Linked DNA regions of Canis lupus familiaris. The protein of the gene in region 1 purifies or fractionates together with the protein of each later gene. This does not show direct contact. Links are inferred from orthologs where the notes say so. Each region holds a gene or a part of one and is shown in the gene's direction. Other genes may lie near its edges.

What was found.
Region 2: the proteins of KCNJ4 (region 1) and DLG4 purify together in Homo sapiens (affinity purification with western blotting, with the first as the bait; 3 studies listed by BioGRID). This does not show direct contact. The link is inferred for Canis lupus familiaris from reciprocal best matches to the Homo sapiens genes KCNJ4 and DLG4.

The regions. Positions count from the first base shown.
Region 1 is NC_049231.1:27,320,496-27,324,889, forward strand, and holds the start of KCNJ4 (inward rectifier potassium channel 4), read left to right. Parts: upstream 1-1,451; 5' UTR 1,452-1,665; intron 1,666-3,020; exon of another isoform or gene 3,021-3,077; intron 3,078-4,245; exon of another isoform or gene 4,246-4,394. Other genes in the region: uncharacterized protein LOC119876745, read left to right, coding at 502-753. UniProt on the Homo sapiens protein: Inward rectifier potassium channels are characterized by a greater tendency to allow potassium to flow into the cell rather than out of it.
Region 2 is NC_049226.1:32,375,275-32,378,935, reverse strand, and holds part of DLG4 (disks large homolog 4), read left to right. Parts: intron 1-451; coding exon 452-747; intron 748-864; coding exon 865-967; intron 968-1,107; coding exon 1,108-1,222; intron 1,223-2,512; coding exon 2,513-2,689; intron 2,690-2,827; coding exon 2,828-2,864; intron 2,865-2,951; coding exon 2,952-2,979; intron 2,980-3,106; coding exon 3,107-3,154; intron 3,155-3,250; coding exon 3,251-3,352; intron 3,353-3,571; coding exon 3,572-3,661. UniProt on the Homo sapiens protein: Postsynaptic scaffolding protein that plays a critical role in synaptogenesis and synaptic plasticity by providing a platform for the postsynaptic clustering of crucial synaptic proteins.

The DNA.
Region 1 (4,394 bases):
GGGGAGGAAGAATGAATGCCAAGGCTAGACAGATGTTTGTTCAAGTCTCAAGTGTCACCACTTACTGATGGGCTGTAGGAATTTGGGCAAACTTTCATCTTTCCCATGGGTAACCTGGGTATAAACCAAATACTGACTTGATAGGAGTCAAAGTTAGCTAGGTACCTAAAGCGCTTTGCAAGGAGTAAACCACTCAACAAATGCCAGTCCCCTGCTCCCCTTTATGGGACACCCAGGCCCAAAGAGGATCCGCAAAGCAGAGCCAGGAGAAAACACATTCTGTGTTCTCAGAAGCCGATCACTCCCTCGCCGGTTTATTCCAGAAGTGCAAAAAAGACAATTAAAAATAACCTCGGGGCCCGAGGAAGCCTTCTGGGGCGTTAGAAGTGTTCTGTATCTTGATCCCAGTGGTGATTACACGGGTTTTTTGCATATGTAAAAATCCATCGAGCTGTGCTCTTAAGATGTATTACAGTTTGTAAGTCACACCTCAATTAAAAGAAAAAGAAAAGCATAACAAACCTTGCGACGCCGCCTCCCTTCGCCGCTGGCGACAGGTGTCTGTCTGAGACGCCAAAGACCCCTCGGCGCTCGCGGGGCAGGCCCGGCCCCCGGGCTCCGAGTCGTGCGCCGCTCCGGGGCCGCCGCGGGGTTCCCACGGCAACCGCAAGCCGCTCTCCGCGTCTCCCGAGTGACGAGGCGTCAGCGAAGACCCGGAGCCCGGATCGCCGAACCGGAGCCACGGAACCAACGGTGCGCGGGAGGTGGGGGGGGCGGTTGGGGAGAGGTGGCTGGAGAGAGACGGTGGCTGGCCGAGGGCAGAGGGGAGCGACGGGTGCCCTTCGTCCTTGCGCTGGCATTCTCGGGGGGGGGGGGGGCATCTGGCACCACCCCCTAGCCCGGTGCCCGCCAACTGCAGGATGAATACACCCCTGGGGTTCACTCTCGGTTTTCCAGGTGGGGAGGTGGACCGCTTGGCTGCTCCCCAATATCACAGAGCGAGCGAATCAGGGGCAAAGGCAAGCCCTGCACCCTGGTGGCCTGCTTTCTAGCTTGTGCGGTCCAGCCGAGTGAAGGGTGCATAGAGCTGGGTGCTGGCACCTCCTTGGGCTCTGGTACCAGCTCTGCCAGTAAGCCGCTGTGCGGTCTTCAAGTCCGTTCTCCTGCCTTTGCCGCAGAGATGGGACAGCACCACCGATATCTCAGGGCAGCTGTTACCAAGTGTGTGAAATAACGGGTGTAAAAGTGGCTTATAAACTGTAAAGTGTTGTGCACCTGTTAAGGACCATCACTGCTGCCACTCTATTGTCTTCTTGTCCTCATCATCATTCTGGCCTCAGCTGCAGGCTTGGTGACAACCAGGTGCCCAGTGAACATGGGGCTCCCAACTCCCCCCATGCCCATGGGTTTGCAGTCTCTAGGGTGAGATTTCCTTCCCGGAACATCCCCTTTCCCAAGCAATGGACCCAGCGTAGCTCTCCCAGGCACCAGGGATCCTTTGGTCCCCAGACCACCTACCGGAGGGATTCACAGAGACGGCAGCCTCCACCACCCTCCTGGACACCGCCTCCTAGTCTGCTACCCTGTAGCTGGATCGCAGAAGTGCCCCCACTAAGTGAGGATGTCTGGAGAGCCCAGGACGTGGCTCCTGCACAGAACCCGATGGTAACACCACTTAATGCTCTTTGAATGCCACATGCTGGGCATGTGTTGTTACAGTTGTGTGTTCGTGTGCTGTGAGACCGTATTTACATTGCGGTGCGTGTGTGGGGGTACATGTGCCAGGCGTGCATGCATACATTGGTATTTGTGTGTGCTTGCGATTCATATTTGAGTATGTGTGTGTAAATGTGTGTATTTATGGCTGCGTGGTATGTGCTTGCAGGTGTGTGTTGTGTATTTGAGGCATATGTATTTACCCGTGCATCTATTTGTGTCTGTGGTGGTGAATATGCATATCAAGGAGGGCATTTGTGGGTCTGTACTTGTGGTGTGCACAAGTGGATGTGTAAAACTGTGAGGTCTGTAATCGTGCATGTGTAGGAGTGTGCTGAGGGTTTCGGGTGGGGGGGGCTCTCTTCCCCCCCATCTCCCCTCATCTGGGTGACCTTCCTCCAGCTGAGGACTGTGCCCAGGCTAGCTCTTGCCCCCTCTGCAGACCTGTGGCTGCTCTGGTCATTGGCTTGCCCCATCTTGGGGCATGTGGGCAGCAGGAGCAAGGGCGGATGGGTGAACCTGGGTCCAGGGCTCACATGCCACCCCCTCCCCTTCTGGCCTCCTCCCCTCCCCACAGCAGGAGCAGCAGCGGGAAAGGTTGGCGGAGGGGGGCTATTTTGGGAGCGTCTCCTTAGCAACAGCTGCCACGGCCGTCTGTGGCGGTTTTTCTATAGGTGCTAAAATATTCCACCCTGGTGACTACTGAGTGCTGGGGGGTGGGCGAGGGGGGGAGTGGAGGGCGGGAGAGACCCCTGCAATCCTCCATTCCCAGGGCATAGCCGCTGGGATGGGTCTTGGCCCTGTGGGCTCCCATTACCCCTTTCCCCACCATCCATCCTCACCCCTCAGGGCTGCTGGGACTTCAGAGTTCTGAGGCTGGCCAGCTGTGTCCTGGTCTGATTCCTAATCTAAGCAGCTGGGCTCCCTCTGTTTGCCCCATCTGTAGAATGGGCTGGCCAGACTTTCAGGAACTCTCTAAGTCCCAAACCCCTGGACTCTGTGACTCTGGCATCTGGAAGTGGCCCCTGGTGGCCCACCTCCCCCACTCCTCTCCCAGCTTGGCTCAGGCCCTCCCACCTGCAGTCCTCCAGGCCTTCTGTGCCTGCTCTCAAGGCCTCTATGGGACCAGGGAGGCCTGACTGGTCTCCTAGAGTGAGCCAGTTCACGAGTGCTCTGCTGGCCTCAAACGACCTCTCCCCAGAAACTAGGAATGGATTCCAAATGTGGCTGAGACATTTGCTTACTCCCTGAGTGACCATGGGCAAGGCACTTCCTCTCTCTGTGTCTCAGGTCGGTTTCCTCACCTGTGAATGAGGGATAGTCCTAGAGGCTCCCTCATGAAGACACTGGGAGGATCATCTCTGAAAATGGAAAATGGGCCAAGAAGCTTTGGCAAAATGTTCAGTTGGATGAACGTTTTACCATCACTACCTATCAAACTTCAGAGCAAGTCTTGCCCTTCCACAGAGTTGTCCCTGGCCATGTACCAACATGGCCCATGCCTCAGTTTCCCCATGGGTAACAAGCGCCTGCATCATAGAGTTCTGGTAAGGATTAAATGAGACAATGCCTGTGCAAGCCTAGAATAGTGCTGGGCTAATGGTATCACCCCCAGGGGCGTCTGCTCCCTTCACTCTTCCCAGGGGGCGCTTTGGTGTTGGATGACCACAAAGCCTACTTGCCTTTTGGGGACCCAGTCCAGACTGTCCCATTACAGATGAGGCTCCTGAGGTCCAGAGAGGATAAGCAACTTGCCCAGGGTCGCCCAGGTTCTGACAGCCAAGCCTCTACCCGCTGCCCCTGTGAGCCCCTGCACACCTGTCTCACATCCCTCCTTGCCTCCACCTCCCCACCCCTGCCCTTCTCAAATATGGGCTGGACAATAGGGAATTCCGCCCCTAAGCTCCCATCATCTCAACTGTGGGGCTATTATCCTATGACACAATAGGCTGTCATACAGATGAGGACACTGAGGCACGGAGACAAGTGAGCTGTCCAGAGTCACATCAGGCTTGGGGCAGAGCGGGGTGGGGGGGGAGGTGAAGGGACTCTTTTTCCTGGGGTCCCTGAACCTCTCTCTGGCTGGAGCTGCCTTTTCTGCCTCTTCCCACCTCCTCCCAGTCACTCCCAGCCTCCACCAGACCCTCCTTGCAGGAGGATCCCAGGCTACAGCCCCAGGAGGAGGGGACCATTACCAAATGTTTCCTCTCAGGCTTATGATGTCACAGCCACCAGGCTTCCCCCTTCCATCTTCCAGAAGTCTCTGTCCCTGAGCTCCTACCTTTCCCTTGAACTTGTGCCCAGTGACCCAGCATCAGGACTGACCCCACAGGAGCAGAGGCTCTAGGTCTACAGACCCCTCAGTCTCCATTCCCCGCCCCCTTTGCCCCTCCCTCCTTGCCCTGCACCCCACATTTCCAGGGCAGCCAGCAGGCAGACCTCTGGCTAGGTGAAGAGACCACGGGTCATTTGCTTCTCCTGCACCCTCCCAATTTCCACGGAAAGTTGTGACAGTGACCAGGCACTTACCTGCCACTGACCGAGGATTCAGATTGCCTAAGTTCATGCGCATCAAAGATTCATGTGAAGGAACACAGTCCTGGCTGCCTGCCTGTGAGGACACCGCAGAGTTAATGAGGGAGACGGGCACGGAATGGGTCATCTGCTATGGGGCTCCC
Region 2 (3,661 bases), on another chromosome or scaffold:
CCTAATAGAAAATGGGAAATTCTGTTAGACAGATGACCTAGTTTTCCCAACCAACGGATGGCCAACAGAAGGAAGAGAGAGAGAGAGACAGAGAGAAAGAGGGAGGGAGGAATTTTATAGATTAAGAGATTTGAGAAACAGCACCCAAAAGAAAACTCCCAAAGTCCTGAAGCCTGATATTCATATTCCCCTTGACTTGAGCACCCCAGGCACACCGAGGATATGTGACCTTCAAATCGGTGACCCCCTGGGAGAACCAGCCCCTGATATGGCCTGTGAATCCTGCCCCCCACCATTGCTGGGATGTGATGCCCCCTTCACCCACCCCACTCTCCTGTCTGAGCCCACTCTCCTGATTCCCTCCTGGTTCCCTAGGGAGAAGGTGGGGTGGTGGGTGCTTTCCTTCTCGAAGTTCGATCTTACCCCTTCTCCCACGTCTTCCTCTCTCCAGCTTATTCCCAGCACCTGGACAACGAGATCAGTCACAGCAGTTACCTGGGGACTGACTACCCCACAGCCATGACCCCCACTTCCCCTCGGCGTTACTCCCCGGTGGCCAAGGACCTGCTGGGGGAGGAAGACATTCCCCGGGAACCGAGGCGGATCGTGATCCACCGGGGCTCTACGGGCCTGGGTTTCAACATTGTGGGTGGCGAGGACGGTGAGGGCATCTTCATCTCCTTTATCCTGGCCGGTGGCCCTGCAGACCTCAGCGGGGAGCTGCGGAAGGGCGACCAGATCCTCTCGGTGAGGGAAGGCCTGCCCCTGCCCCCTCACCACTGGGCACCCCCCCCCCGCCCCCTGGGGCAGAGCGCAGAGCTCTGGGGCCCAGCTCTGACAACCTGGCCTCTCCCTTGTCTCTAGGTGAATGGCGTGGACCTCCGCAGTGCCAGCCACGAGCAGGCTGCCATCGCCTTGAAGAACGCGGGTCAGACAGTCACCATCATTGCCCAGTATAAACCAGAAGGTACCAGGCCTGAAGCGCCCCAGCCTGCGGCTAAGCTGGTCTTCGGGGTGCCAGCCCCTTGGCTTGTGGCTTCTGCCAGGCCCAGTAAGGGTGGCAGGAAGGCCAGGGCCGCAGCTCAGGAACCTTCTGGTCCCTTCTAGAGTACAGCCGATTCGAGGCCAAGATCCATGACCTCCGGGAGCAGCTCATGAACAGTAGCCTCGGCTCAGGAACCGCCTCCCTGCGGAGCAATCCCAAAAGGGGTTTCTACATCAGGTTGGGGTGCTTCCGGGCCAGGCTTGACTTTGTTCTCTGCCCCCTGCCGCTGCCCCCCAGATCTTCTCCTCACCCCTGCCTACCTCCCACTACCAGCTGGGCCTGATGCTCTGCTGCTGGCCATGGGCTCGGCCGCATAGGTTAGGGACCTTAGATACTCTGTATCAGCCGGAAGGGGGCCTCTGGGCTGAGTTCCCCTGCTGCCGTCTGGCCCTTGGTCACCCCTACGTTTCCCCCTGAGACCTCCACAATCTGGTGACATGCAGGTCACTGGCCGGCAGGGCAAGGGCCTCTAGGCTGGGTGGACTGTGGCCTGCGTGAGCACCTCCCTGGGGGTGGCCCAGGGGAGCGGGGTGCCTGGTGTCGTGGGCGCCATGGCTTCTGCCTCCCCAGCCTCCCCTGCCGGGGCTCTGCTGCTGTCCTCAGAACTGTCGCCTCACCTCTTCCCCAAGGCCCAGACCCGCACTGCTGGCCATCTGCTTTCTGGGCACGTTCCCCCGGGATGTCCCACAGGCATCTTAGCTCTATGTGTCCTGAGTGGGGGCTCACTGCTTTCTCCCATGTTCTGGAGCTCTGTCTTGCTGCTCCAGCTTTCTCCCTCACTAACTGGTGCCGTTAACTGGCGCCCATCCGCCCAGACTCCTGCCTCCAGGGGGCCTGGCTTGGCCCTGCCCTGCCTGCTGAGCTCCGGTGCGCCCCCCCACCCCCCCCCCCCCACGCCGCCGCCCTGTCCTCGGTTGGTCTGTTCTGGCTTCCGGGTGTCTCCAGGCCGTCCCAGAGCGCCTCCCCTTTCACCTTGTTGCTGTGCTCCGCGTCTTGGCTGCCTCAGTGGTCCTTCCTTCCCCTGGCCTGACCCCAGGGGTCGTGGTAGGCTGATAGGAATTCGATACTGGTGGGGCTGATCAGGGATAGCACAGTGGTCCTTTTCTTTCTTAGGACCTTGTGCCGATTCCGGGTTACCTCTGGTTGTCCTGTGCATGCGTGCTGCACACTGCTTCCATGGGAGGGTGGTGTTCCAGATTGTTCTCTAGGAATTGCACTGAGTCCGTAGTGGCTCTGGTCCCTGACACAGTGTGGACTGAGTGGCAGATTGTATTGAGTGTGCCTCAATAGTAGAGCTTTCGGTCCTCCCAGGTTTTGAGTTCCTTGGAGTCCGCGGCCCCTGTGGGCAGGCTGTCAGCCGCTGTGCTTGGCTGTAGCCCCCTGGTCTGGAACCCCAGGCGGGTCTAGGGGTGCGGGGCGCAGGGGTGGCCTCGACCCACCTCTGATGGATGGCTGCCTGCCCCCCAGGGCCCTGTTTGATTACGACAAGACCAAGGACTGCGGCTTCCTGAGCCAGGCCCTGAGCTTCCGCTTTGGGGACGTGCTGCACGTCATCGATGCCAGCGATGAAGAGTGGTGGCAGGCGCGGCGGGTCCACTCTGACAGTGAGACGGATGACATCGGCTTCATCCCCAGCAAACGGCGGTGAGGCTCCCAGGCCCACAGCCTTCCTGCCACAGGCACTCAAGGCCCAGAGGTCCCCGGGTGGGCAGCCCCAGGACCTCCTGGGAGGGAGGGTGCCCGGCATCTCCCTACCCGCCTATCCCTCCATGTTCCCCACAGGGTTGAACGACGGGAGTGGTCAAGGTTAAAGGCCAAGGTAGGTGCCGGGAGTGAGCTTGGTGGGGAGGGGAGGGGCGGGGCGGGTGGGACTCCACCAACCACGTGGTCTGCTCTTTCTCCGTAGGATTGGGGCTCCAGCTCTGGATCACAGGGTAGGTAGGGTCCACTCGGTACCCCGGGGTGAGGGAGCCCTGAGTCTCTCTTGATAGCGTCAGGAAGGCGGCAGGGGGTCCTGAGTCCCATCTCCGAGCCCCTCGCAGACGCCCTGCCTCCCACTAGGTCGAGAAGACTCCGTTCTGAGCTATGAGACAGTGACTCAGATGGAAGGTGAGTCCTGGCCCCTGCTGCGCCCCGGCCCTGTCCCTGCTGCACCCCTGCCGCACTCTGCCCAGCCGTCCACCTGAGCTGGCTTTCTGTCCCCAGTTCACTATGCTCGCCCCATCATCATCCTTGGGCCCACCAAGGACCGAGCCAACGATGACCTTCTCTCCGAGTTCCCCGACAAGTTCGGATCCTGTGTTCCCCGTGAGTGTGGGTGGGGCCCCTGGGGGGAGGCAGGGAGGTGGCAGTGGGGCCCATGGGGGGGGGTCTCAGGCAGTGGGCCCGCAGGCGTTGGGGTGTAGGAGGACACAAGGGTCTTCAGAGGAGGGGGGCCCTGACGGGCACCGCCAGCCCTTGCAGTACTGGTCTCCCTAGATGAGGGTTGGTGGTTAGATCTTGGGGGGGTGGGGGACTTCCTGGCAGATACAACTCGACCCAAGCGGGAGTACGAGATAGACGGCCGGGACTACCACTTCGTGTCCTCCCGGGAGAAGATGGAGAAGGACATCCAGG